5 linked regions of the Coturnix japonica genome follow. The protein of the gene in region 1 interacts with the protein of each later gene in a pairwise test. Links are inferred from orthologs where the notes say so. Each region holds a gene or a part of one and is shown in the gene's direction. Other genes may lie near its edges.

Region 1 (3,979 bases):
AACCCACAGCGCCGCAATGGGATCAGGGCTTTGTCCCTGCCCTGAGGGCACTGCAGAACTGGGGCATCCCTTTGACTCCAGTAATGCCCCTTTAGTGCTGGTGGGTTGTGGGGCTCTGACCACGGCCAAGCACTTCACGCACCCTGCATTGCCCTCCCCCTGCGCGGGGATGCTCAGTGCATCCTCCAGGGCAGTCCCCATCCCAATCCTAATCCCAATCCCAATCCAATCCCAATCCTAATCCCAATCCCAATCCCTATCCCAATCCCAATCCCAATCCCAATCCCAATCCCAATCCCTGACTCCACTCCAATCTCCATCCCCATTCCAATCCCCCCCATCCCAAACCTGTCCCCATCCCCATCCCACGGCCACAGCTCCCACAGTGACAGAGCCCCGGACAGGACAGCACATCAGGGAAAATTTCCAGTCTTCCTCTTTTACAGTCTCTGTCTCCTGCCGCGGAGGGAGCCAACTGGAACAAAATACTCTGTAGAAATACTTCAGTATTTTCCTCTCTCTCGCGCGCTCCCTTTTTCTGGATTGTGAGTACAGCTGTAGATTCAGTGAGCTGGTTCAATTATAATAAAATATACAGTATATATTGTAAATGATGCTGCGGGGCATGGAGCGGTTTCTTTGCATCCCTCCCTCCCACCCCAGCCCCTGGCAGGATGCAGCCCCGCTCTGCAGCTCGGCTGCTTTGATCCCTTTCCATCCTGTTTCCCAGACAACATGGGGCTCCCCCCCACCCCAGCCCCCAGCAAAGGGTTCAGCAGGTGCTGCTGGGGCTGGGGGGACACCCTGAGCTCCCCCTGATGAAAGATACTTCTCCCATCCTTCCTGTATCCCTGTCTGTGCCAAGCGCCCCACAGGGAGGGCTCTCACATCCCTGCACTGAGCACATCAGGGCTCAGATACATCCATCCCCTGGCTGTGCTGCCTCTTAAAAGCAAAGCCTGCACGCTGCAGGAGCTGGGCAGGAAGGGACAGTCAGCCCAAGGCCAGAGCTCAGCCCTGAACAGTCCCAACAACCAGCATCAGCCCTATCAGTCCCCACTGCCCCCATCAGCCACCCACAGCACCATCAATCCCTACTGGTCTCTACTAAACCCCAGCAGTCCACATCCATTCATGTAATCCCTCACTGACCCCCATCAAGCCCTACAGCCTCCATCAGTCCTCCTGACCTCCATCAGCAACGCTGGGCCTTGCTGACCCCCCCACCAAGCCCTATAGCCCCTATCAGCCCCTCTATCCTCCATCAACCCTACAAACCCAGCTCTAGGACCCCTCACCCTGGGGTGCCACATTTCTGGTGGGCTCCAGAAGCTTCTGGCCTGGCAGTGACGCAGCGGGCGCAGGGCTGAGCTCGGGCTCCTGCTCTGACTCATCCCCCCCAGCACTGCGCATCCCGAGGGCTGTTGACGGGAAGGGGAGGGCAGGCTGGGATCCATCCAGCTCCCATCCATCAGCGCCAAGGAGCAGCGCAGGGCGGGCAGCAGGGCTTGCGGCTGCGCGGGGCTGGAGAAAAGCTTCTGGTCCCTTCCCGGGCCCCGCTGCAATTTCCATTAATAGCCAGCTGCGCCTGAAGGCTAAAAATAACCGTGGGGACGGGTTCATAAGGCCCTACAGCCGCTCCACACCATCAACCCCGCACACCATGGCCGAGCGCCGCGTGCCCTTCACCTTCCTCAGCAGCCCCAGCTGGGAGCCCTTCCGCGACTGGTACCATGGCAGCCGCCTCTTCGACCAGTCCTTTGGGATGCCCCACATCCCCGAGGACTGGTACAAGTGGCCCAGCGGCAGCGCATGGCCTGGATACTTCCGTCTGCTGCCCAGTGAGAGCGCCTTGCTGCCAGCCCCTGGGTCGCCCTATGGCCGCGCATTGAGCCGGCAGCTGAGCAGCGGCATCTCCGAGATCAGGCAGAGCGCCGACAGCTGGAAGGTCACCCTGGATGTCAACCACTTTGCACCCGAAGAGCTGGTGGTGAAGACCAAGGATAACATCGTGGAGATCACCGGTGGGTCTGAGAGATGGGGTGATGGGGGTATGGGGAGGGTGTGGGGGATGTGGGGTGGTTGAGGGGATGTATTTGTGGTGGGGGAATGAGGAGAAAATGGAGCATGGTGGGAAAGGGAAGGAGAAAGAAAGAAAGAGTGAGGGAAAGGTGAAAGGGAAAAGGGAGAAGGGGAAGAAGGAAAAGGAAAAAGGGAAATAGGGATGGAAAAGAAAAGGGAAAGAAAAGGAAGGAAATGGGAGGAGAAAGGGGAAAGGGAAAGGAAAAAGGGAAATAGGGAAGGAAGGGAAAGGAAAAAGAATGGGAGAGGAAAGGAAAAGGGAAAGGGAAAGAGAGGAGAGGAAAAGGGGGAAAAAGGGAAAGGAAAGGTAAGGGGAAAAGGAAGAGAGAAAAGGGGGGGGAAAAAAAGATATAACAAATGATAAGCAAACAGAGAAGGAATAGGGTTACAAGTGCATTCCAGGGATGACTCATGATGTACACAGTGTGCTGGCTGCAGTCCCCAGCCCCACACCGCTATTGTATGCAGCCCACGGTAGGAATGTGATGCGTGCCCCATAGGGACAGAGGTGTCAGCGCCATGGGGCAGAGCCAGGCCCCACAGCACCCTGAGCATCCCTGTGTGCCAGGGAGGGGGCTCAGCAAGGGATGCTGTGAGGAAACACAGACCCCATGGCCCAGGGCCAGCAGTGTGCCCTGCCCAACGGGGAGCTGAAACAAAGGCGTTGGAGATGGGTTGGGTCCACCATCACCGTCTGTTTCCTACCCTTAAATTTAAGGGGTGTTCCTGTAGGGATCCAGGTGTCTCTCATCATTCAAGGCTGCATGTAGGGCAAGCAGGACTGCCCTCAACCCAGTGCTGATGGGGCAGGGAAAGGCAAACCCCAAGTGCGGAGACCCAATGGGTTTAACCTTTTGTGCTTTACTCTTTCCAGGCAAGCACGAGGAGAAACAGGATGAGCACGGCTTCATCTCCAGGTGCTTCACCCGCAAATACACGTAAGTACCAGGGTGGGGAGAGTGGGGACATCCAACCTGCCCATCCCCATCTCACACACACACTGGGGTTGTCATTGGCCCCAATGGGGGACGCATAGAAATTAGGGGATTTTCTGACCTCTCCCCTCTCCCCGCAGTCTCCCTCCTGGTGTGGAAGCCACAGCCGTGCGGTCCTCACTGTCCCCTGATGGGATGCTGACAGTGGAGGCCCCGCTGCCCAAGCCGGCCATCCAGTCATCCGAGATCACCATCCCTGTCACCGTCGAGGCCAAGAAGGAAGAACCAGCCAAGAAGTAGGAGGAGGCCCCGCTGCTGTCCCCGACACACACCCCGCACGCCTGCCCCCAGCTCCCACCCCCTTTGTATTTTTTACTTGGTACTCACCCATCACCCAGTGCCTTGAATAAACTTGGAGGAAAAGAGAAAATTGATGGGAATAAAAGTGATAGAAGAAACCTGCCCCGTGTCTGCTGGCCACATCCTACAGCCTATATGCCAAGTTTCACATCCCACACCCCACATCTGGACATGCCAGATCTCTAAAGTCATAGGATTATAGAATCGTGGGTTATCCTGTGTTGGAAGGGACCCATAAAACCCACTGAGTCCAACTGCTGGTTGCACACAGGGCCATGTCCCTGCTTTAACACCCTGGGTGTCAGCACTGTGGGTCTCCAGCATCCCAAGGTCAATGTCCTGGTCTTTCATGTCCTGAGAATCTGACATTTTGGGTCTCCAGGGTCCTGGGTCTCAACATTACACTACTCTACATTACTCCATTTGAGGTCACAACATACTGGATCTCCAACATGCTCCCAGGATCCAGAGTCCCCAGATTTCCAGATCTCCCATCTCCCAGATCTCAGCATCCCATTTCTCCTCCATCCCAGGTCCCTGAACTCCCAGATCTCGTCACTTTCAGTCTCAATATCTCATCATTCCTCCTCTCCAAAGCTCTG
Region 2 (4,107 bases), on another chromosome or scaffold:
GTTGTAACTGAGGAGATAAAAGATTCTCCCTTTTAATATTTCAGTAAATAATTAATTTAATTTAGTAGTTACTTCTAATTTACATTAAAACTCAGGCTCAGAACTTCACTGTCTCCCACCCGGATATTGTGTTTCAAACCATCATGGCCCACAACCTCTTAACAACTCCCATCTACCTCCATTTTCATGCAGCAATCTGCCTCAGTATTAGTCTGTAAATAACCCTGCCCCTGTCACTGCTGCCACGTGCGTACTTTCAGAAAAACAAATGTTATCAGGCAAATTCTGGATGCAGATTGCTTTGGCACCAGCCAGTTCTCCTTATCATTAATGACCAGAACCGTCCTCTGCACTGCACAAACGGACACCCAGCCACCTCAAACATTGTGCTGTTGGTTGGTTGTTTTCTCTATGCGTCCTGTTTGGACTCCTGGGGACAGCCCGGGCACAAGTGACAGCACAAACTGCAGGGCATTTCTAAGGATTTAAGTAGTGTTTATAATCAAAGGAACCCTGCAACATCCCTGTGGAACAACTATGATGTAATAGTGAGAATATCTGGGCACACAGGATGGGAAAAGAGTAGATAATAGAATTGCATTTTGTCTTAGCATTACCTCATACCCAAACAAAGATGGCAGCCAGAGTGGAGAAAGTGTGTTGTCCTCTGGAAGCAGCAGAGCCTGTCGGTTCATTTATTGTTGTTCTTATCCCCCAGTAATTTCTGGATCGTTTCCCTTCATGTTTCCCACAGCTCCGTGCTGCCCTAGCTGCACCCATCTCCCAAACCCAAACCACTCCGTGGCCACACGGTGGTAAACGGCAGCTCACGATGGCGGCTTAGCGGGGCCACCCAAGCCGAGCGGATTGAAGGTGTCATTATCAATATTTAAAACCACTGCAAAAAAAGATGCATTTGGCAGGCACAGCCTGCTATCCAACCCTGCATGACTAAGCTACCGCACAGCGCTGAGCTCATGGCTCAATATGGGACTGATTCTGCGGTGAGGGATACACCAGCAGCCGTTTATACGTGTATATCGATATGAGCCGCAGCTCGTTCCCAGCAGGACACGAAGCCAAACACCGCATTACTCCCGCAGCGCCCACCGCCACCCGCGCGGCACGAACCGCCACCGCCGCCATTTGCGCATCGCGGCGGCTCCAGGGCGGGGCTGCGGAGCCACCTGCGGCCCGGGGAGGCGGGAGCCACCCGCACCCCGCAGGGAACGCCCCGCTCCGGCCGATCCCGGCAGCCCCGGGCGCGCAGTGGGCGGAGCGGGAGCGGCCCCGGGGGGCGGGCGGAGGGGGAGGGGAGCCCGGGCAGCGCTCCCCCCCGTGGTGACAGTTTCTAGAAGCACGTCCCGCCGTCCTTTGCGCCCGCAACATGGAGGAGCTGACGGTGGAAGTGCGCGGCTCCAATGGGGCCTTCTACAAGGTACGGGCGCCAGGCGGGGCTGGAGCCGTGTGGGGCTCTGCGTGTTGTGCTGGGGGACGGGAGCGGGGGGCGGCCGGGAACGGAGCCTCCGAGATGGGCCGGGAAGGGGGGGGCGGCGTGGGGGTGTCGGGGTGTGGCGGTGTATGGCGGTGTATGGCGGTGTATGGCGGTGTATGGCGGTGTATGGCGGGGTATGGCGGTGTATGGCGGGGTATGGCGGGGTATCGGGCGGTGTAATGGCGGGGTATGCGGTGTATCGGCAGGGTATGGCGGTGTCTGGCGTGTGTATGGCGGGGTATCGCGGGGTATGGCGGGGTATGGGCGGGGTAATGAGCGGGGTTATGGCGTGTACTGGCGGGGTATGGCGGTGTATGGCGGGGTATGGCGGTGCTGTGAGGCGGTGAGGGGCCTTTCCGGCTGAGGGGGAAGGAGCCGCGGGGAGGGGCGGGGTTGTGTGGGGGTTGCGGTTGTGTGGGGGTTCTGCGGCTGCTGGGGGGGAAGCGGGGACCGCGGGTGGGGTTTGGGGCTGAATGGGGGGAACGGAGCCAGAAATAATGTCTTCTAGAATATCTGAAATAATTCTGTAACGATTTCGGGTTTATTTATGTCATCAGAAGGCTTCCTTCGCCATCAGCCTCCCCGGAATGCCGGGTTGGTACGGGATCCGTGCTCCGTGCCCTCAGCTGTGCCCGTCACTCATTGCCCTCAGCCCGGGGCAGTCGTTAACGCTCCGCTCTTTTTATGGCCACAGCCGCTGTTTGGTTCCCGCAGCATTGTGCTGCTCAGCCCTGCGCTCACACCGGGACCCGCCGGCGCGGGGCGGGACTGAGCGCGGCGCTGCTCGGGGCCGGGGGGCGGCCCTCACTGCCTCCCATTTTCCTGCTCGCATCTGTGGGATCGGGCCGGGAGTCGTTGGGAATCCGAGTGATTGGGGCGGGCAGGGGATTGTGAGCAGCTGAATGCAGGAGTCGGGGCCGGGTGCTTCGGGTTTTTGCTGTTTTGCAACTGGCTGTCTATTAAAAGAGACAAATAGGAGATAATCTTAGGAGGAAGGAATGTAATGAGATAAGCTCCGTGCCCTTGCTAGGTGCTTCTCTTCGTTCTTTTTGCCAAAATCCATAGATAATAAATGTTGCATATCAGATACGTTTTTAGGAGCATTACAAATAACCACGCAGAAACCCACATCAAAATCACCTGTATTTTGAACACGGCTTGCCTAAAAACAACGTTGATTATTTTTCCTGCCCATTAGGAAACATGGAATTTGGAGACACCCCTCTTAGCTTTTCCATTTGCTGCCCTATGGTCTTGGGCAAAGGATGAAGCATGTGCTGGTTCTTTCTTCTGCTTCAGGGGAATGTGGGACTAATGGGAGCATTAGGAGGTGTGCTGAATTCCTGGAGCTGTGTGTACAGCATTTATTGCAATAAGCCTGATTTAAATTCTGCAATAATGACGTCTCCTGAGTCAGTGCGAATTGTCAGGCTCGGATTAGCCCCATCATGTGTTCAGCCTTCTGGATGGTGGCAAACGAGCAGAAGTTTTGCTTCAAAATGTCATTATTTCAGACCAGCTAAATGGGGATTAGGCCCAATGTTGAAAGCCTTTTGCTTCTTGGGGAGTGGGCAGGTTAGAGTGCTTGGGCCTGTAGAAGCCCCAGCTCTAAACAGTCACTGTGGTGCACAAAATCCATCCCGAAACACAATAGACGCAAGTAGAAAAGTGATCTTAAAACACTTTTTTTTTGAAATCTGAGCGTCTGGCTCCATTTTGTGAGTCCTAGAGGTGAGGTTATGCCTGTGCTGTGGGACTGAGTAGCGCTACTAGGAACTGCTGTGTAAAGCTTGGGAAGAAAAGGAGGAAGGGGTGTCAGCCTCATGTAGAAAGTGCTCACCGAGGATTGGTGTTGACATTTGTAAGACTATAAGAGGGGATAACGTTTGAAGTTTGCGCTCAGAACAGTCTGAATTTAGATTCATTATCACAACATTCCTCCTGGTAAATGACGTGAGAGGGATCCTGCTATGCCAGCAGAGATAAAGACCAAAGGAATTATGTAAACTATTACACGATGGTTTTTCTAATTGGTTGTTAATATGGTCTGCAACTCAGCTGTAGTAACAGTAGTGATTGCATCTGTTGGAGTGGTTACTGCAGGTATGACCATGGTGGGTAAAACTGGGATTGCTATCAACTAATAAGAAAAATTATGCTCTTTATTAAAATACATGAAGAATAAGAATGTTTTTTCTTGATGCATGTATTAGTGGAAAGTAACCGTGGTTGTGGTAGACATCAAGTAAGATTCTTTTGTTCTAAAAAGAAATGGTATGTTTTAAACTGAACCTTTTGTTGTGTATCTCCAGACATGATTGCATGTTTTCTTTCCCCTTTGCTTCAAATGAATATTCCAATCCAGAGGACAGAACAGCATTTCTTTTGCATCTTACCCCAAGTTCTCCAGCATTAGACAGCAGAGCACGTTCAGCCAATCCCTGCAGCAAAGCACACTGCGTCTGTTGGTGTTACTCATCTGTTGTCTGAGCCCCATCAGTGCCATCTTTAATCTAAAGGAGTTGTGCTCTCATGGAAAGGACGAGGTTTGTGTGGTGGAACAGCTGGAGAATGGGGTGACAAACCACTTTAGTTAACAATTGCAGCTGCTA
Region 3 (4,293 bases), on another chromosome or scaffold:
CATAGTCTTTGTGACATCTTTCAGATACATCCAGTTTGGATATAGGATGGTGTGTGCATTTGATGACTTAAACATCGTGTGACTATTAATCATAGCTACAGCACTGGCATTTTATGGAGTTCCCAATGGCACAGCTGCCTCAGCAGGTACCTACAGACATCATTACACCAGGGTGTTGCAGTAACAGTACTAAGAAGACGCAAAGCCTGCAGCACAGTCATCCTGCTGGCTTTTACATTCTAAAAATAGGCAGAGCCCACTGGAGAAGTGATGAGGTAGGGCCAAGCGTAAGTGTCTGGCAAGTTCAAGATTATTACAAGCTTTACACGAGTATAAAGATTTACGTTAGACAAGCTCTAAATAATTAATTTGAGCCATCAGAAAATTTAAGAATCTTGTCAGGGCTGTCATCTCACCTTCATCTACATCCAGAGAAACTGCAGGAGAGAAAAGTCACCTTCAGCAGGGAAACTGACCAAGCTGCTTTAGACACCATTGTAAGCATGAAAGGAATGATTATCTGTATGTGCCTGATTTCCACCACTGATTCAAGGCAGCCTGGACATTAGTTCACCAATATGTTTGATATTTAGATGATTATTGATCCAAATCCTACTCCAAACAAAACAATTGTATTTCACTGCAACTTAAGGGAGTGAAAGAGTTAATACCAAGTGCTACTGAGTGTTGTTCATGCTCACACTAACATGACTAGAACGAATACTGTAGGACTGAGTCTGAACATACCATTCCACTCCAGTCAGCAATGGGGACTGCAGATTTTGAAGTCATGCTGAAACGCAGTAACTCCATCCTTTGGAGAAGCATTGCAACCATGCAGTTTTGTTACATTAATTTCAGCTTTCCTTGCCCTCTACATCTCTGCTTCTATAGGCCTTGCCTGTACAAGAATCCTCAATTAATCCACCATTAACTGCCTCCTGCTGCTGGCACATGTAGATTAAAGCCGTGCCGATCATTACAGGAATGGCAGCAGAAGCACAACCAGCACTTTTCCAACGGGAAACCTTCACATACAGCTCCGTATTATTGTCAAATACAGAAACCACCTCAACAACCTTCCTGATTCTTTAACTAAGTACCTACTTCAACCATTCCTTTTTGGGGTGAGAGGGCAGAGCACAGCCCCATAGAAAAGGACCATATGAGCCAACAGTGTGTCCCCACAGCACAGAAAACCAACTGTATCCTGGGCTGCATCCACACACCATGACCATCAGGGTGAGGTGTAGGAATGACCCGACCCCCCTCAGCCCCCTGCCCACATCTCTCCCCTCAGCGCTGGGGGCGGCGCTCAGATGACGTCACCTCCCCCGAGCTCCCGCCCGGCGCATGCGCGGTTCGCTCTCTCAGGGTGATGTAATACCTCCCCGCCCCCACCTTCGCAGCCCCAACATCCGGGTACTACGAGCGCGCTCCCGCCTCCCCCTCCCCTCCCCGCCGCTCTTTCGGCGCATGCGCAGAAGCGACGAGGAGGAGGCGGTGGCGGTGGCTGTGCAGTGCGTGCGCGAGCGCGGCGGGGAGACGCTCGTTGGCGCTGCGCGGGTGGGCGCGGAGCTCGGGAGGGGAGCGGGGACAAGGAGGGGGGGGGTCGGCGGCGGCCGAGCGGAGCGGAGCGGGAGGCGAGATGAGCGCTGGGCTCCCCGTGGGCAGCGAGCCGCCCTCGGCAGCCGCCGCCTGTGAATGAACTGAGGCGAGGCCGCCCCCCCCTTCCTCATCCTCCTCCTCCTCCCCTGCTCTCCCCCCCTTCCCCTCCCGACACACCGCCGGGAGCGCGGCCGTGCCTCGCCGCCGCAGCCGGTGCCGTCCCCGCCGCGGCCCGGAGGGGGTAAGTGGTGCGGGGCCGGGCTGAGGGGGGCGGTGAGGCGCCATCCCGGGTGGGGGGGCGACCTGAGGGGCCCTGAGTGCGGCTGGGCGCTGGGCTTGGGGCGCAGGCGGCGGCCTGGCGCAGGTAGCAGCGCGCTGCCCTCTCCTCTCCTCCCCCCTCCCTGGGCCGCTTCAGAGTTCATTTAATAATGGCTATAAACAGCCTCCTCCTCTCCCATCGCCACCCAAATGCTTGAGGCACGGCGCTGGGAGGGGAATAGAGAGAGGGGGGAAAAAAAAAGCACGCATCTATTTATAAAGCACCCCACCCTACAGCGAGGGTCGGAGCATCGGGCGCTCCCCGAGCGCTGCCGTGATGCGGCGGGTGGGTTCCCCTCGGCGGCGCCTTTAGGGCGTTTTAAACTTTGAAGGAGGTTTATTTCACCGCCTTTGGAAGCGACGTCGTGTGAGCAAAGGTTGCGGTGTGGCTGCGGAGATGGAGCCTTCGCAGCTGAAAGTTGTGCGGTGCTACGAAGCTCCGCTCCAGAGCTACATCCAGCCTCCGGCCTTGCCTTGGACTGAGGAAGGCACAGGGCTGGGTCGTCGTTTCAGAACCTATTTCGTAGGCATCTCGTAGATATCTGCGTGTTTGTTTTGCGCACGTTGAAATGTTTCAGTGCCGTGCCACGGGTATGGCAAAATCCTGCTGTTGCAAAACCACCTAGTGCTCGTGAGGAACTTAGTTTTGCGCCGTACCTTTTGTCAGATGAGGAAATGGTGGTTGTGTGGTCACCATAAGGCTGCGTGTGTCACGCTGAAGAATTATTTTCCTCCTTTGAAGCAGATGGCAGTCTTAAATGAAATCCTGTGAGCAACAGGCTTTAGCTCTGTCCTCTTTGGTGGTAGGCGATTTTCCATAGATCATGATGGATAATGACAGAGTAAGTAGAATCATCTTGTGAAGCAGAGAAGTTCTAACCCTTGTGATTCTAGGAACTTACTTTGCAGATAGGATCAGTGTGACCTTTTGCTTATTCTCTACACGTACTGCTTCAGTGCCCAGGTGGCTGCTGAAGGATTCATGAAGCCCCCCATGAAATTAAAGGTAACTGCTGTGCTCACGACCCTGTGTGAATTGCCAAATTAACAGGCATTAATTGTGCAAGTTCTACCCACGTTTCTTCTCCGACAGCTTTTCTTTTGATACTATTCCTAGGTTTTCTATGAATAAGATCAGAGACAGGGAAGGGGTGGAGGAAAACATGGGTCAAGGAAGTTGTACTCCTTCCCTGTGTGATCAAAGGAGAGATAGTGAAGAAGAATAGCTGTGCTAGGTGTACCAGCCATCTCTCACCAGGGCAGGGAGAGCTGCTCTCAGACCTTTTCCCTCCAGGCCTGTCTTCCTGGGCGTGCGTTTTGTACATGGGGCTGCTCTAAAAGTAAAAGTCTTGCTGATGCATTATGCCAATTACTAATTTCCTCACAGTCACATTTATCTGATGAAACCCTCTGCTAACTGTAGTTTGTACTGGAGACATCTGGTCTGTGCTCTCGCTGTCTTCAGATGGAAGGGTGTTTTGCTAGAGGGTAGGCACAGCTTAGCTCTGGCCAATACGTTTAGTCCTTTAGTTGTCTTCTGGTAAACGTTTCTCATTGAGGTGCAGTAGAAAACTCTACCTGTTTTCCAAGTGCTTCCTTAGCTGTCTGGAATTAAGCTTGAGAGACTTTGGAAACAAGGAGGAGAGATGGAAGTGCCAAAGGAATGGCAAAGCTTGCAGGTCTAAACAAGCCGAGCTCACTTGGTGCAATTTGAATTAAAGCAGAAGACAAAAAAAGCCTTTTCTATAAAACCAAGCTGGTTGCTTCTTATCTGGAGCGCGTTTTATATGGTGAAGTTGAGTCACTCGTGCTGAGAGAGCGTTTGAAGAACTGTCGTTAAAAAGCTTAGGTACTTTGGCACAGTGTGATTTGCAAACTTATGTAACTGGTATGGTTTTGAATGCAGCTGTCAATATGAGATCTGATTGCACTTGTCCCTTTAGAGTGGAACTAGGAATTTAAAGGAACTACTTTCACTTAATGACCTAAATGTAGGTAATTTAAGAATAGCACATTTCATACTAAAATATCGACTTTGATATTGGTTTTGTCATTACATGCTCTGATGCTCATGTAGAAACATTAGCCAGTGCTAATGTCAAAGTGCATTTACATAATTACAAGTTATTTACAAACAAGCAAATTTTGGAATGGGAAGTTCTGCAAAATAACTAGATTTGTTTTGTCTCTGCAGACCTGCAACTCATTTTAATAAGGCTTGAATAATATTGTTTGAAGTCAAGACAACAGCAGCTTAGCAGAGCTACACCTGAGCTATGCAACGTGCCTTGCTGCTATTGCATACTGTGCTATTGCGACTGTTGCTCCTCCTTTCTCTTAAACCATGTCTCACTCCTTTCCTCGATC
Region 4 (4,003 bases), on another chromosome or scaffold:
TTAACACGGTGATTTCTAGAATGAAACACTTCAGCTGTTCAATCACATCTGTATTATACGGACATTAAAGAAAATAAGAAAGCATGCAGTGCTGATATGAAATCACTGCAGAGAACACTTGATGCAGGAATGAAAGAAGCAGATAACTAAAATCTGCAGACACAGGATATACAAACACCTTCAGGTGTGGTATAAGAACGTGGACCAATATGAAAACAGACAAGGGTAAACTGGGTCAGATGGGGACCTGACAAAGACAGGCAGACTGAAACAAAGGATAAATGCTTTGAAAAAGTATTGCCAATCCAGGTTCTTCAGGTATACACCAGCTTTTGTAATTTGTGATGTGGAGATGACAGCTAGTTTTGTTAAACCCCACAAAATGCAAAGAACAGTCATTTACTTTATTGAGTTTTGAACAGCAAGATCTCGCGTTAATGTAGTCGCATTCCAAATCTGATAGTGTAATTATCTGAAGTTAGCGATAAGGAACAACTGTGCCGTAAGTCAGAACACTCAGACACTCAAAGGACGGGTTCAAGCTGGATATCAGCAATGGGTTCTGCCCCAGAGGGCGGTGGACACTGAACACGCTGGGGCTCAAGGGTAGTTTGGACACTGCTCCCAGACATAGGGCTGGGATTCTGGGTGGTGCCGCGTGGAGCTGTGTTGGACTCGGCAATGCTTAGGAGTCCCTTTCAGCTCGGGATATTCTATGATCCCACGTTTCCATGCAGGTCGCTGTGCCCTCAGTGCACATCACCCTCCCGCAGCAGATCTGCCCCAGGCACGTTTCCATCAGCCCCGCTCAGCCCTCCTTGCTGCAGAGGGTTAGGCCGCGCTTCGCTATCAACCTAAATGACTTTATGGCAGTTTTCCACCGGTACCTACTGGACAAAGTTCAGCTCGACGCCGCAAGCAGAGCAGGGAGGGAGACCCGACCATTTCAGCATTAAGACCTGGGAGCACGAGGGGCAGAACGGGGCACACACCCCGTCCTGCAGGTCGCCCTCCACAGCCCCACAGCCCCACTGTGCCCCGTGTGTGTTCCAGGAGCTCATGGCCCCGCTCAGGATCCCCCTATTCCCGGGCCTCACCCTCCGCAATGCCGGGCCCGCTCCTCCCGCAGCCCCTCTCAAACCTCCCCCACAGAGCCCAGCCTCCGTCGGCCGCGACCCCAAACCCTCGCGGCTCGGCCCCGACCCCACCGCAGAAGGATACGAAGTATACGGAGAGGAAGATGAGCGCGCAGCAGTCGATAAGCGAGAAGATGAAGACCACCGACTCCATCCCGCTGACCTCCCGGCCGCCGTACGCCCCGCCCGGGCCCCGCAGGCCCCGCCCCGCCGCACGGCTCGCCGGGTACCGGAGTCCGGCTGCCTTTAGGGCGGCCGTTCCACGCGTGGCGGCGATGCGGAGCCGGCCGGGCTCCTTCGTGGACCTGAGGCTGAAGCAGCGCGTGAAGCAGGTTCGTACGCGGCCCTTCCCCTCAGCGCCTTGGAGCGGGTCGGGGGCTGAGGGGAGAGGCCTTGTCTTGTTGTACCGTCGGTTCTGGCTTCCTGCCGCCCTTCTGGCCTTAGGGTGGTGCTGAGCCTCAAACAGGCAGATTCGGAGCAGCCGCTGTGGTGAAGTGAGTGATCAGGGTCTGACTGGCCTCACGATGTGTCTCGTTTCAGTACCTCGCGAGCAGTAAGTGCGGCCATTATGTGGATATCGGGATCCTGGCCTCTGATCTGCAGAAAACCTACAGGTGAGAGGGTCGGTGTGGTGGTATTCCACGCTCGGGATGTAAAACGTATCGTTTTGTATTTGTGTGCTGTCAGAATTCTAATCTGAAGTCACTTTCTTTGTCAGTTGTTGAGGTTCATTGTTTTCCTCTGCTGATATATCAACTAACTTCCATTGTTTCATGATGTTAGTTCTGTAATTCATCTGTTACTGATGCAGATGCATTACAGCATCCTCACCATACAGAGCTGGGAATATGAGAGAAAATAGCACTTGGGTGCAGGCTGTAGGACAGCGAGAGTTCTGTAGGACAGCGGGACAGTCAGTCCTACCAAATTATTTGCCAGCTGTTTGCATTGTAGGGAGAAAAGTTGTGTTCCAGCAGGTCCTGGATGGATGTGGGAGTTAAAGGGAGGTGGAGAAGGATATTATTATATATATTCATTTATGTTTGCACAATCTATTTTTTAATGTCTTGTTAGAGAAAGGGTGATAGAACAAGGGGAAATGGCTTCAAGCTTAAAGAGGATCTTTAACACTGAAGGTGGTAAGGCACTGAACAGCCTGCCCAGAGGGCTGGTGGTTACACATTCCTGGAGACTTTCAGGGCCCTACAAGGGCCAGGGCCACTAGTGTTACTGTGATATAAAATCCATCGTGCTCACCTGTATATTCTGTCTCTCTATAGCTAAAGAAGGTTAAGTAATTTTTACTAAAGATCCACTTAGAGACCAAGATATCCCAGTGTTCTTTTCATCCCAGTGGTTGTCCTGTTCTGGGCTTAAGAAAAAATAATTGTGAGTTCAGGTTGGTTCTTAATAAGAAGTTGTGTAAAAGTTTGGCTGTCGACTTAAAACAACAAGATGTCATGCATTGTGTTGTTGTTTTTCTTTTCCAGTACTGAATACGGACGAAGAAAACGAAATGCTTTCAGAATACAAGTTGCAAAAGGTAGTTCTGTCAGTGTTACGTCCACCGTGCCAGAGTTTTTGGTTATACTTTGGCTGTTCTGTTAACGTATTTAAACTTTTCCTTCAGTGTTTGGAATAATCAGCAATGAAAAGAAAAAAGAAGATTTAACAGCTTTAGAAGCTGAACATTTGGCAAAAAGAGCAAGGCATGAACACAAGAGAAATGAGTAAGAAGAATTTTTACCATTTGATAACTGTAGCACTGCCCTTAATATTTAGCACTTTAAAGCTTTTTGTCTCTATTATTAAGGTTTGGTAGTTCACAGGTTATAGATCAGTCCTTAAATTCCTCTAGGCTTGTCTTCCATGCATATGTTAAAGAGTAGATCATAATTTCTCTGCTGTAGTAAATGTATGGCCCTGAATTACTAGATAATCCTTAAGGCTTCCTGATAGTTTTCTATGTGGTTAAGTTCCTTTGTTTTGTTTTGTTCTTAATCTTTAATGAGTGTTATATATATTATCGAAATCTGTGGGAGAAGGCTACAGGAGAAGCTATTCTGAGTAAACCACCACTAGCATTAAGGCTGGCATTAAGATTCCTAACTCCTAAATTTATGCGTGGTCTCATGGAAGGTTGTGTTTTCCAACCTGTGATAAACATCAAGGATCTTAAGAGCAATTAAGACATTGTGATCAGAAGGACTAATATAATTCAGCAGTGACTTACAGTAGCTTCCCTTGTGCTAGCCTTGGTGATTGTGAGGTTTCATGGTGAACTGGATCACATTGGTGCCACATCCCTGCCTATCTGTAGGACTGTCTTTCAGCCAGGATACTGGGTTGATCCAGCTCATTGCAGCAATGGAAAGAACGTGTTTTTAGACTTTTCCCAGTAGTAAATTTAAAATACAGTTTGTTTCCACTCTTTTCCTGTGTTTCTTAATTGCAGGGAACGATGTTCTGAAAATTGCATTTGTTCTGTTTTGCACGTGTCTCTTTTTCAGTTTTTCTCTGATACATTACGTTTTTGTCTTCTTACCATGTAAAGGACTACAGGAAGTTCCACAGAGGATTCAGAGGATGATGATTATCCGGAAGATTTAGTAAGTTGTATTAAATTATGATTGCTTGTATTTATGTAACATGTGATTGTGTTTTGTAAAGTGGCAGTGAAAGATTAAAAATAGAGCTTAAAAGTGGCTAATTTCCAACAGTAAAGGAAAAAGCTGTGGTGGGGAAGCACTCTTTAAGAAAGCACGATGGAGGCCCAGAAGAGTTGGCCATCGAATGATTGAAGTGATTGACGGAACTGACACAGCTGACTATTACTGAAATGATAACTGTCAGCAAACTAATGGGTT
Region 5 (4,106 bases), on another chromosome or scaffold:
GTGACACCCCATTTCCACCTCAGTGCCCCCCTCCCACCCCGGCGCTCCCCCCCGTCCCCCCCGTTACCTGGTACCCGCAGCCCGCGGCCGCCGCCGCCCCGCACAGCAGCAGCAGCAGCGCGGCCCGGAGCGCCGCCATGTCGTTCGAGCGCGCGGTCATATGACCGTTTGATCACGAGACCAGGGGGGTGGAGGACTTCGCTTCGCCCCGCCCACCCGTCAAGCGGGAGCCAATGGGCGGCCGCCGCGGCACCGCGCCCCGCTCTGATTGGCTGTAGGCGACGTTAGAGTGACACTCGCCGCTTTTCCGTTACCAACGGTTCCCTAAATCCCGCCCCCGGCGGCACGTGATTGGCAGAGCCAGACTGACAGCGCTCTCCTCCAATGGAGCGTCGAGTAGCTTCCAGGTGGGGAACGCGTCCCCTCCCGGTTCACCCGTCCCCGCCATTGGCCCAGACCTGCATCTCCTCCTTTGTGCCCGGTGTCCTCCAGCTCCGCACATTCCCTCTTTTAGGTCCCCTGAGCCCCCAGAACAGCAGCGTTCCCTCTGCACTGGGGCTGGGCCCTGGCAGGTCCGTGAGTCCAGAACAACAGCAGCTCACAGCCACAGCCCCCCTTTAATTGCACAGCCCCCCTTTAATTGCACAGCCCCCCTTTAATTGTACAGCCCCCTTTAATTGTACAGCCCCCCTTATATTTGTACACCCCCCCTTTAATTGTACAGCCCCCCCCTTTAATTGTACAGACCCCCCTTTATTTGCACAGCCCCCCTTTAATTGTACAGCCCCCTTTATTTGTACAGCCCCCTTAATTGTACAGCCCCCTTTATTTGTACAGCCCCTTTAATTTGTACAGCCCCTTTAATTTGAACAGCCCCCCTTTTAATTGCACAGCCCCCTTATTTGTACAGCCCCCCCTTTAATTGTACAGCCCCGTTTAATTGTACAGACCCCCTTTAACGTTGTACCAGCCCCCTGTTATTTGCACAGCCCCCCTTAATTTACAGCCCCCCCTTTAATTGCACAGCCCCAGACCAGGAGCTGTTCTGTCACCACGGCGGGGACATGGGCTGCGGGTTCTGCAGGTACGACATCACCACGGCAGAGATGGAGAGCCTGAGGGGGGAAAGCAGCGTCAGGGGGTAAAAGCAGCGTCAGAGGGTAAAAGCAGCCCCCGTCCCCCATCCCCCCCCCGTCCCCATTGCTCACATGAAGCTGCTCATCATCTGCTTCGTGTCCTCGGAGCTGCGGGAGTTGGCAAAGCTGATGAAGGAGCAGTAGACAGCGATCCACGCGCACCACTTCAGCTGCAGCACCAGGAAGGGACGCTCATGGGAACCCCAACACACCCCAGCTGGTGTCAGGATGCCCCCACACTGACACCAGTCCTGGTGGGTCTTTATGGTGCCCCCTCAGCCTGGTCCTGGTCCCAGCACCGTCCCACTGTGATCTGGGTAACTCCTCCCTGGCCCAGTTTTGGTTCTTATGGGCCGTTCTGTGCAGTGCTGCTCCCAGCAGTTCATTCTGAGTCTAATCCTGGCCCTGCTGGATCCCCCCGGTTCGTCCCGTTACTGTTTTACCCCTCCCAGCTCTCAAGTCTCCCACTGACCCGGTTCTGGTGCCGTCTCTTCCCCGGTCCCGGTGCTGGTTCCGATTCTTCCCACTCTCCTCCCATCTCACCAGCTCCCTCCTTATGAAGCCTCACTCCAGGCTCCGGTAATTCCTTCCCGGTTCCTTCCCGGTTCATTCCCGGTCCATTCCCCCCCCAGCCCGTTCCCGTTCCCGTTCCCGTACCTTGAGCATCAGCCCGCACATGCTGAACACCATCCCCAGCAGGTTCATGTAGTCCGGTGTGGGATCCTCCAGTGCCGGGTTGCTCTCGGTGCTGGGCGGTTTGTACCTGCGGGCGGGGCCGTGAGCGGGGGAGGGGACCCGGTACCCGGTACCCGGAACCGAACCCGGACCCGAACAGCCCCCGGTTCCCCCCCCCCACTCACCGCGTGACCCGCGCGGGCCGCCGTGGATCGACCATTGCGGCTGTTCAGCGCTACGAGTGCGCCGGTAAACTTCCGGTGTTCTCGCCGGAAGTGTCCGGCCTCCACCTTCCGCCTCCTGAGCTGTTCGTTCCGTTCCGTTCCGTTCCGTTCCGTTCCGTTCCGTTCCGTTCCGGTGCAGCCATGGCGTTCCCGCAGCCCCGGCCGGCCCGGCCCGAGCTCCCCCGGAAGCACGTGCGGACCATGGAGTGCGGGCAAGGAGCGGTGCGAGCCGTGCGCTTCAACGGTGAGAGCGGACACGGGGCCGGGAGCGACACGGGGGGGGCAGCTCACATCGCGGCGGGTGGGCGTGGGCGGCCCCCCCCCCTCCCACAGCCCCCCCCCCCACGGCCCCCCCCTCACTCGGCCCTTGTCGGTGTGTCCGCCATCAGCGGACGGCAATTACTGCCTGACGTGCGGCAGCGACAAGACGCTGAAGCTGTGGAACCCGCACAAGGGCACCGCGCTGCGCAGCTACCAGGGACACGGCTACGAGGTGCTGGACGCCGCCGGGTAACGCTGGGGAACGGGGCCCCCCCGCTCTGCACGGAGCCGCACCGGAGCCTGACGGGGTGTGTGGGGGGGTGTGGGGGTGTGTGTGCCTCCCCAGGTCCTTTGATAACAGCCAGATCTGCTCCTGTGGCTCCGATAAGACCGTGGTGCTCTGGGATGTGGCCAGTGGACAAGTGGTTCGCAAGTACCGCGGGCACGCGGGGGTGAGTGTGGAGGGGGGGCAGGAGTGGAGCAGGGGAGCAGCGGGACGGGAACACACAGCACCCCCCACCCTGTGTCCTCCCTGCAGAAAGTCAACTGTGTGCAGTTCAATGAGGAGGCCACCATCATCGTGTCTGGTGAGGAGAGACCACTGCTGTCCCCCCCGTCCCGACCCCCCCCCCACAGGGGTAGTGATCTGACCCCCCCTCACTCACGCACCCCTTCAGGCTCTATCGACTCCACGGTGCGCTGCTGGGACTCCCGCTCACGCCGCCCTGACCCCGTGCAGGTGTTGGATGAGGCCAAGGACGGCATCTCCAGCCTGAAGCTGTCAGCCCACGAAATCCTGACGGGGTGAGGGGGGGCAGAAACCACAGGGATGGGGATGGAACCCCCCCCCCCCGGTGCTATAAATCCTCTCCCATCCAAATCACAGGTCTGTGGATGGCCGCGTGCGACGCTACGACCTGCGTGCGGGGCAGCTCTACTCTGACTACGTGGGGAGTGAGTGATGAGGAGACCGACTGCAGGGAGATGGGGAGGGACACCTAAATTCCCCTCTCTCCTTCCAGGCCCCATCACCTGTGTCTGCTTCAGCAAGGATGGGCAATGCGCGTTGGCTGCCAGCCTGGACTCCACACTGCGCCTGCTAGACAAGGAGACGGGCGAGATGCTGGGCGAGTGAGAGCTGGGGGGCTACAGAAGGGGTGGGGGGTTAAAGAAGGGGTTGGGGTCACTGATGTCCCCCCCCACAGGTACACCGGGCACCGCAGCTCATCGTACCGCCTGGACTGCGTGATGAGTGAGCAGGACACACACGTGGGCAGCGCCTCTGAGGATGGCAACGTTTACTTCTGGGACCTGGTGGAGGTCAGCCCCTCCCACACACACCTCCCCCCCCCCCCCCCCCCCCCCGCCCCCCCTTGCCTCCCATCTCACATATTTTCCTTCTCACCCCCTCCTTCCCAACAGGGCTCCCTGGCACTGACATTGCCCGTGGGGCATGGGGTGGTACAGTCCATTGCCTTCCACCCCACCCTGCCCTGCCTGCTGGCTGCCAACAAAGGCTGTGTGCAGCTGTGGCGTGAGGACGGCTTTGAGGGGGACACCACCACCACGTGACAGCCCGAGGGGGCCCCTTTGTGCCCCCCAGAACCTTCAGAAATAAACCCCACAGTGTGGAGACGCTGCAGCGCTTTATTGATGCCAAAATAAATAGAAGTGCAGGGGTGGAAGGATGGGGTGTGGGGATGGAGGGACAATACCAGGGCCCTGCTCGCCCCAGGGCAGGCTCAGCTCCCCAGAGTGAGGGATCTGACCCCCCCAGCTGTGGGCTCAGCCCCCCCTGGGGCATGTTTCC

What was found. The genes of interacting proteins can lie anywhere in the genome.
Region 2: the proteins of HSPB1 (region 1) and FXR1 interact in a two-hybrid assay, tested with the Homo sapiens proteins (2 studies listed by BioGRID and IntAct). The link is inferred for Coturnix japonica from reciprocal best matches to the Homo sapiens genes HSPB1 and FXR1.
Region 3: the proteins of HSPB1 (region 1) and PPM1A interact in a two-hybrid assay, tested with the Homo sapiens proteins (2 studies listed by BioGRID and IntAct). The link is inferred for Coturnix japonica from reciprocal best matches to the Homo sapiens genes HSPB1 and PPM1A.
Region 4: the proteins of HSPB1 (region 1) and NVL interact in binary tests that used the Homo sapiens proteins (3 or more experiments, as listed by UniProt). The link is inferred for Coturnix japonica from reciprocal best matches to the Homo sapiens genes HSPB1 and NVL.
Region 5: the proteins of HSPB1 (region 1) and WDR83 interact in binary tests that used the Homo sapiens proteins (3 or more experiments, as listed by UniProt). The link is inferred for Coturnix japonica from reciprocal best matches to the Homo sapiens genes HSPB1 and WDR83.

The regions. Positions count from the first base shown.
Region 1 is NC_029534.1:3,162,856-3,166,834, reverse strand, and holds HSPB1 (heat shock protein beta-1), read left to right. Parts: upstream 1-1,483; 5' UTR 1,484-1,663; coding exon 1,664-2,024; intron 2,025-2,956; coding exon 2,957-3,020; intron 3,021-3,157; coding exon 3,158-3,317; 3' UTR 3,318-3,479; downstream 3,480-3,979. UniProt on the Homo sapiens protein: Small heat shock protein which functions as a molecular chaperone probably maintaining denatured proteins in a folding-competent state. Plays a role in stress resistance and actin organization.
Region 2 is NC_029524.1:15,057,229-15,061,335, reverse strand, and holds the start of FXR1 (fragile X mental retardation syndrome-related protein 1), read left to right. Parts: upstream 1-1,307; 5' UTR 1,308-1,387; coding exon 1,388-1,438; intron 1,439-4,107. UniProt on the Homo sapiens protein: mRNA-binding protein that acts as a regulator of mRNAs translation and/or stability, and which is required for various processes, such as neurogenesis, muscle development and spermatogenesis.
Region 3 is NC_029520.1:49,583,001-49,587,293, reverse strand, and holds the start of PPM1A (protein phosphatase 1A), read left to right. Parts: upstream 1-1,493; 5' UTR 1,494-1,849; intron 1,850-4,293. UniProt on the Homo sapiens protein: Enzyme with a broad specificity. Negatively regulates TGF-beta signaling through dephosphorylating SMAD2 and SMAD3, resulting in their dissociation from SMAD4, nuclear export of the SMADs and termination of the TGF-beta-mediated signaling.
Region 4 is NC_029518.1:15,291,264-15,295,266, forward strand, and holds the start of NVL (nuclear valosin-containing protein-like), read left to right. Parts: upstream 1-1,203; 5' UTR 1,204-1,221; coding exon of another isoform or gene 1,222-1,240; coding exon 1,241-1,468; intron 1,469-1,676; coding exon 1,677-1,750; intron 1,751-2,626; coding exon 2,627-2,679; intron 2,680-2,766; coding exon 2,767-2,866; intron 2,867-3,690; coding exon 3,691-3,745; intron 3,746-4,003. Other genes in the region: CNIH4 (protein cornichon homolog 4), read right to left, coding at 404-472, 1,222-1,290. UniProt on the Homo sapiens protein: Participates in the assembly of the telomerase holoenzyme and effecting of telomerase activity via its interaction with TERT. Involved in both early and late stages of the pre-rRNA processing pathways.
Region 5 is NW_015439889.1:96,215-100,320, reverse strand, and holds WDR83 (WD repeat domain-containing protein 83), read left to right. Parts: upstream 1-1,306; 5' UTR 1,307-1,390; intron 1,391-1,793; coding exon of another isoform or gene 1,794-1,899; intron 1,900-1,996; coding exon of another isoform or gene 1,997-2,031; exon of another isoform or gene 2,032-2,105; intron 2,106-2,174; 5' UTR 2,175-2,176; coding exon 2,177-2,279; intron 2,280-2,424; coding exon 2,425-2,545; intron 2,546-2,642; coding exon 2,643-2,748; intron 2,749-2,834; coding exon 2,835-2,883; intron 2,884-2,973; coding exon 2,974-3,100; intron 3,101-3,182; coding exon 3,183-3,250; intron 3,251-3,318; coding exon 3,319-3,427; intron 3,428-3,501; coding exon 3,502-3,616; intron 3,617-3,718; coding exon 3,719-3,868; 3' UTR 3,869-3,929; downstream 3,930-4,106. Other genes in the region: MAN2B1 (lysosomal alpha-mannosidase), read right to left, coding at 68-160; WDR83OS (protein Asterix), read right to left, coding at 1,049-1,115, 1,209-1,306, 1,794-1,899, 1,997-2,031. UniProt on the Homo sapiens protein: Molecular scaffold protein for various multimeric protein complexes. Acts as a module in the assembly of a multicomponent scaffold for the ERK pathway, linking ERK responses to specific agonists.